2 linked regions of the Sus scrofa genome follow. The protein of the gene in region 1 purifies or fractionates together with the protein of each later gene. This does not show direct contact. Links are inferred from orthologs where the notes say so. Each region holds a gene or a part of one and is shown on either strand. Other genes may lie near its edges.

The links. The genes of interacting proteins can lie anywhere in the genome.
Region 2: the proteins of ACBD6 (region 1) and NMT1 purify together in Homo sapiens (co-immunoprecipitation; 3 studies listed by BioGRID and IntAct, with this or other methods). This does not show direct contact. The link is inferred for Sus scrofa from reciprocal best matches to the Homo sapiens genes ACBD6 and NMT1.

Annotation. Positions count from the first base shown.
Region 1 is NC_010451.4:122,113,004-122,116,752, forward strand, and holds the start of ACBD6 (acyl-CoA-binding domain-containing protein 6), read right to left. Parts: upstream 2,795-3,749; 5' UTR 2,471-2,794; coding exon 2,249-2,470; intron 1-2,248. UniProt on the Homo sapiens protein: Binds long-chain acyl-coenzyme A molecules with a strong preference for unsaturated C18:1-CoA, lower affinity for unsaturated C20:4-CoA, and very weak affinity for saturated C16:0-CoA. Does not bind fatty acids. Plays a role in protein N-myristoylation.
Region 2 is NC_010454.4:18,320,307-18,323,955, reverse strand, and holds part of NMT1 (glycylpeptide N-tetradecanoyltransferase 1), read left to right. Parts: intron 1-2,150; coding exon 2,151-2,295; intron 2,296-3,649.

The sequences.
Region 1 (3,749 bases):
TCCGTAAAGCTAAATACCACAATCTGAACCGAATTTACTTCTAAGGGACCTGCCCACTACCTCCTATGACTCTTACTTGCATTTTGCTAAAATCAAATGGTCTACTCACTGCCTTAGGAATTTTGTTTGTTTGTTTGTTAGTTTTTGCTTTTTAGGGCCACACCCGCGGAATATGGAGGTTCCCAGGCTAGGCAGGGGTCACGTCGGAGCTACAGCTGCCAGCCTACACCACAGCCACATCAGATCCCAGCTGCGTCAGCGACCTACACCACAGCTCATGGCAACGCCGGATCCTTAACCCACTGAGGCCAGGGATCGAACCCTGGTTAGATTCGTTTTCGCTGCATCACGACGGGAACGCCAAAGAATTTTTATCCTGTTTCGCTCATGTTATTTCTCCCACCTGAAAAGCCTTTCTCTCTTCCCTCGGCTTTTTAAAATGCTCTACCTCCTTAAAGTCCCACTCAAGGTTCAAATTCTAAGAACCCTTTATGTCTACAAAGATCTCATCCATCCAGAATATTTCAACAAAGGTTGCCAATGGTAAATGCCAGTGAATCACGTGTGCCCAAGTTAAGGTAAGAGGACATGCTAGGTATCCCCACTTGTGCTAGTGCTGAAGGCTCCTCAACAGGGGTTTGAAATTTTCATTGTCCTCTCATTTTCACAAATGTCAATTCATTCTTGTTTGCTGGAAGAGTGCAGGCTAATACACGGAGGACCAAAAAAACCCTGTTAATTGGTGTGATCTTTTTGAAACTTCACTGAAAGATGACTGTGGAGCCATACACTTATCTAAGACTAAAAGAGCTATTATGTTAGGTACATTTAGGGCCCTGCAGGAGAAAACAAGGTTCACAGCTCAGCTTATTTTTATCAACTTCCTACTGACAAAATAGAGTGCTATTCTGAACAGAAAACATAAAGATATAAAAACCTTTCTATGAAATTTGGAGGAAATGAGTCTTACAATGCCCAGAGAATCATCAGTCAGCCACATTACTGGTCCAAACACAATGCACAATCAATTCTTGTTAAATAATTAAAAGTCTCATTTCATTGTTATAAGGACAGGATTAAACCTCCCCACCCCACCCCCACAAAAGATATCCAGAACTTTTGCAAGAAGACAAATTCTGAGGCCAATTTAGGGGCAATTTTCACTCAACACTCTAATTTATACCATTTGTTCCTAGAGCTGCATCCCTCAGGTCACTTTACAACTGATACTCATTGACCTTCAAAAGAAGGTTCATATCTACCCTATTATATTCAGTTTAAGAAAACAGAGGGAGCCCACAGCTTTCTTTTTTTTTGTTTTTTTTGTTTTTTTTTTAAAGAATACAGAGGAGGGAGTTCCCCTTGTGGCTCAATGGGTTACGAACCCAACCAGTATCCATGAGGATGAGGGTTCGATTCCTGGCCTAGCTCACTGGGTTAAGGATCCGGTGTTGCTGTGAGCTGTGGTGCAGGTCACAGACAAGGCTCAGATCCCATGTTGGTTGTGTCTGTGGTGTAGGCCAACAGCTGTAGCTCCGATTTGCCCCCTAGCCTGGGAACCTCCACATGCCTTGGGTGCAGACCTAAAAAGAAAAAAACAAAAACAAAACAAACCCAGGGGAAACAGATACCAAGAGGCAAAAAAAATTTTTATAAAAGAAAATGGGCTATCCTCCAGAGCTTCATCACTTCCAGTGTTCCAAAGAGCTAGAGTTTTCCTAAACTGTTATTTAACTCTAGTCAGCAATTTTTCACCCGTTTAAATCTAGACTCCTCAATTAACTTTGTAAAGTCTCTTGATGGCAAGTATCATGATGCTTTTGCTTCTCCGCATTCCCCACAGGCATAAAACCCCAAGTGTTTTGCCCATTTTTGTAAAGGTTCTGAAGCTGGTGAAAGCTTAAGTGCAAGGTCACTGGGCAAGTCAGAGAAGACACAGAAAAACTGTCATTCAGTAGCCAGCTAAATATCACTTCTCAGATAGCAGACAGGTCCTTTCCATGTCCAGAATGATGCAAATCCTTAACAGATAATTAAAAAACAAAGCACCCACATAAACTTCATTACACCTGGCCATTAACCAAGCTTGTTGAATGATGCAAATCCTTAGCAGATGATTAAAAAACAGAACATACACACAAAACTTCACTACACCTGGCCATTAACCAAGCTCATTTACCATTAGATTTTGGAGAAAAGAGAGGCCTTTGGTCGTTCACCCGCATCCACCCCTTCCTCGTGACTTTACCTGCTTGTACCTGGCATACAGGTACAAGAGCTGCTCCCTGCTGGCCACCTGAACCAGGCCTTGGAGGTGCGCGGCCGCCTTCTCAAACAGCTCGGTCAGGCTCCTGGACGCCTCGGTCTCGGGGCTCTGGAGGGATTCCGCATCCCCGGAGTCGTCCCCCGAGCTCAGCTCTCCGCCGCTGTCGCCCGTGGTAGCCCCCGAAGGCAGGAATGGCGAGGCCATGTGTCCGCCTGTCTTCTTCAGACCGGGTGTAACGCCGTCTTGGGGGCCTGGCCCACCAGTCCCCTCCCTGAGTCGGACCCAAGCTCACTTACTCCGCGCTCCCTCCCTTAACTCTATCTCCCTCCCTTTTTCCGCCCGGCGCGTGCAGGGCTGGCTCCGCCACCCTCTGCGGCTAACCCCTGCGGCCCAGGTCTCCTCCGGCCTCTCCTAGCTACCCAGGACCTCGGACTCATCCGGGGTCTCTCCAGCAGCGCTGGGGGTCCGCTGGCCACAGGCCTCGAGGTCCCGGAAAGAGGGCGGGACGGGGGCCGGTAGGGGGCGGGGCGGGGGCGGGGCGACGTGAGTGCCGAGCACGCGCCCAGGGCTACGGCCGGCCCCCTGTTACACGCTGGGAGAGGGAAACGTGGGTAGCTCTGGGTTGGGCACCCTCCAGTAAATTAAGGGACTCTTGCGGTGAGCTAGGGAAACGCTGCTTGGAGAAAGTGCCCTGAGTCGTTCAGATGTCCGTTAATCGTTTTGCTGAAAATACCGGAACCCATTCTCGGGCTAGGCCATCGGCGGGTGGGGAAGGAGGCCGTCTATTTGGTAGTGTAGCGATAGGAGCGGAGTCGTGGGAAACTTGGAGCTGAGCACGAAGGTTCCGCCTGCGCCCGCCTCCCCAGATTGTGTAGCCTCAGTGTCCCAAAGCGGACGTCGAATGTCGGCATTCTCTTGCTGGAGGGATTGGTTCTAACTTGTAGAGTGAATGAAAATATGGGAGATGGGACCTTCAGCACCCAAACTGTGAGATTGGTCAAATCTCTTCATGTGTTGCTTTGCACGACTTGCAGAACCCACACCTGGCAGAGCTCATGGGACCCCACCCCCGTGGCCCTTAGCCTGATTTGCTTGTTCCCAGCTCAGTCTTTGCCGCTGTGCTGTGGCAGTCACTGACAGTGAAACCAGAAATACGCTTAGTTCTGCCCTATGTTAGAAACCTGCAAAAACTACAATATGATTATAATAATGTTAACAGAAATAATGATCTATAGTAAGAATAGGGTTTCCCAGGTGGCTCAGCGGGTAAAGGACCCCACGTGGTCACTGCTATGGCTTGGGTTTGATCCCCGGCTGGAGAACCTCCACCTGCCTTGTGGCAGCCCCAAAAGAAAATAATAGAAGAATGTTTTGTTTGAGCCAAACCGAGGACCAAAGTCGAGGAGTCAGCCTCTCAGTAGCTCTGAGGTACGGCTCTGTAGAAGCGTGGTTTTCAGCACATGAATGAATCTCATAACAGCAG
Region 2 (3,649 bases), on another chromosome or scaffold:
AAAACCAAACACAGCAAGAAGAAGAATATGAAAATCACACATAGTCCTACTTCCCAGGAATAAGCCATGTAAATATGTTGGTTTCTGTTATTCCTTTCCTTTGCAATGTAAACGAAAGGGAAAAAAAAGCAGTGAAGGAAAAGTATTAGAAGTTATGGGTATTTGTATAATCTTAAGCCTGACATAAGATCCAGAAGCCATAAAAGAAAAAGCGGCACATTTCAGACTTTTTGTAAAAGTCAGAAAGGCAGACAACAAACTGGGCAAACATTTCCAGTACATGAATCAATCGGTTTAAAATAATGAAATGATGAAATGAGTAGACCATTCACAAAGAAGAAGTAAAGGTTTTTATATGGAAGGATGGTTAAACTTAAAATGGAAGAGTTCCTCTACGGCTCAATTGGTTAAGGATCCGGCGTTGTCGATGCTGTGGCTCGGGTCACGTGGTGCGGGTCTAATTCCTGCTCAGAAACTGCCACATGCTGGGGGCATGGCCAAAAAGAAAAAATAAAGCACTGTTTTTTTCCTCCTAGATTGGCAGAGGTTAAGATTTGGTGAATTTAATGATAAGAGTCTAGGGAAACACACTCCCATCCACTCTTCATCGGGTTATTAACTGATATTCTCTTTTTATTTTATTATTTATTTAGCGTGCACACATGTGTACACATACAAGGGATGTGAAAGTTCCCAGGCCAGGGATTGAACCCGTGCCATAGCAGTGACAATGCCAGACACTTAACCCACTGAGCTACCAAGGAACTCCAATATATTCATTCTCTCTTGTTCTCGCTTGCTCTCTCTTTTTTTTTTTTTAGGTTGTACCTATGGCACATGGAAGTCCCAGGCCAGGGATTGAATCCAAGCCATAGCTGTAGCAACACCAGATCCTTTGACCCACTGTGCTAGGCTGGGGGTTGAACTTGTAACTCAGCCTTGACCCGAGAAGCTGCAATCGGATTCTTAACCCACTGTGCCACAGTGGGAATTTTCCAATATTCTCTTTTTAAAGAGCAAGTTGACAGTATATATAATCTCAAATATGTATCTCCTTTGACCCAGCAAGCCTCCTTTCTTAGGCTTTATCCTGAAAAAATATGTATTCAGTGAGCAGAATTAGGTGTAGAAGGAAGTTCATTACAGCGTTGTCTGTAAAACTGAAGCCCAAGGTCACCAAGATGCCCGTTGGTAGGGGGTGGCCAGATATGTGGTGGTCTGTGCACCAAGGGCTCAGTCATTGGAATGGGCAGGTCCATGCAACTGCGTGGAAAGGTCTCTAAGACAGTGTTTGAAGAACAGTCTGTAAGATAATACTATATGATCCAGTTTGAGTTTTTAAAAATTGTGTGTGTGTTTGGAACTTGCATGCACAAAAGTCTGAAATTATATTTGCTTCTTCTCACCCTACTTTCCAAATTTAAGCCTGGTTTTTATTTTTCGTTCCTGGCTCTTTAGGGCCGCATGTGGGGCATATGGAAGTTCCTAGGCTAGGGGTCAAATTGGAGCTGTAGTTGCGGGCCTATACCACAGCCACAGCAGGGCTGGATCCAAGTGGCGTCTGTGACCTGCACCATATCTCACGGCAACGTCGGATCCTTAACTCAATGAGCGAGGCCAGGGATCGAACCTATGTCCTCATGGATACTAGTGGGTTCATTACCTCTGAGCCATAACAGGAACTCCCAAAATTTAAGACTGTTGATGACAGGGATTATATTTGAGAGATGGGATTGTTGGTTTTTTTAAACCTTCCCAAGGTTTGGTTTTGTTTTGTTTCCCCCCTCCGCCACAGCATGCGGAAGTTCTGGGGCCAGGGTTTGAACCTACCCCACAGCAGTGATGGCCCCTGATTTTTAACCCACAGAGCCACCAGGGAAGTCCCCTTCTATATATGTATTTACGCTGATGCGTTGTTTGAAATTTAACGCCGAGCATGTCTTACTCTGCCATCAGACATCATAGACTAAGAAGAGAAACCCTCTAGGAAGCACCAACCCATCATTGCTCATCATCAACCATGCTCTTTCCAATTGTCATACGATAGGTCACCTCTGGGGAACCACACCCCCTTAACTCTTGGACTTGAATTTATCAGAAGTGCTTATTAATATAACGGGCCTTTTCTCTCCCAACTTTGTTTTGTTCAGATGAACTCTTTGCCAGCAGAGAGGATCCAGGAAATACAGAAGGCCATAGAACTTTTTTCAGTGGGTCAGGGACCTGCAAAAACCATGGAGGAGGCTAGCAAGCGAAGCTACCAGTTCTGGGACACGCAGCCCGTCCCCAAACTGGGTATGTATGTGCTTTCCTCTCCAGGCGAGGGCGAGGGATCTAAGGCTTCCAGGCTGATTTTGTGAGGGAGCACAGGAGAGTCCTGGAGTTCTTTGGTGGTTGTTTTTAGAGGATCGTCTTTGCAGTGCAGTGTAGAGAAGACTGTTGTTCAGGGACCTTGTCTTTGCACAGTGACACACATTGAGAACAGATAATGGTCCTTTTAGTCCTTATCATCCAGTATAAATCTGCAGAGATAACGGCGTGCTGGCACATCATGAGTGGGGCTGTGTGCCCAGGGGTCTCTCTTCCCACGGTAGGTTTTATAGAGAGACTGTCTTGTTTATCTGGGCAGACGTTTGAGGTGACGTGGGGCCGAGTCCCCAGCCTCTTCCCCTGTCTCTCAGGCAGTGGGTGCTTAACAGTGATGGTTTAACACCTGGGATACCACATGCAGGTTTGGTCAACACCAAGGGGTGGGACAGGCAGAATATAGAAGGATTCCAGAAGAGACTGGACAGAGCAGTGTTAGAGATGCCTGCTGAGACCAAGCCATGGCTCGCCCTGATGGCTGACTTCAGAGGCTGCTATGGACAGAAAGTTTTTGGAGTGGTTGCATCATGATTCTGGATCCATTGATAACCCAACTCCTATTTTCTACGTGACTGGGAAAGCAGGTACATTGAAAAAACCGTGTGTTTTAACAGCAAACGTAAGTGACCTTCAGGCTGTCCATGTTACTGCTCCCGTCCAGAAACACGGTGAAATGTGACAGTGTGTTGGGTGGGGAGGAGGGGGTGAGGGCAGGATGAACGCCTGGTGAGGGGAGAGGGGCACCTGGGTCCAGGGAGATTGAGCTATGCCGCCTGTGCTCCTCCCACCAGCAGGACAGGCATTGCTTAGGAGCTTGTAGAAAGGCACAATCTCAAGCGCCAGTTCTGCAGAATTGGAACTTGGTGGGGAATTCGTGTCCACTTTGAAAGTTTGATAAGCTCTGCTCTGGAGCAGATGTAGGCTAAGCTGAATCACGATCCAAAGCAGGCTGGGATGCGCCCTCCACGTGGTGGGAAGCAGAGCAGTACGTGGATGTTATGAGTGGTGAATCGGCAGTAGGCACTGTTCTGGAACCCTGCCCTGCCCTGTCCATTGCGTCTGTCAGGCTGCCCAGGTCAGCCAGCTCCCAGGACGTGGCTAAGACCTCCTCAAGGCCTTGGGTCACAGTAACACCATTACCAGGGCATTGCACGTAGCAGGTCCCAGTGACCGCGCCCCACCAGGAAGCAGGAGGAGTCAAGAGCCCCATGCTCTGCCTCTGAGTGAACTGCTCCTAGAGGCATTCTGGGGCAGCTACCTGCATCTTGGCTGTTTTCAGATG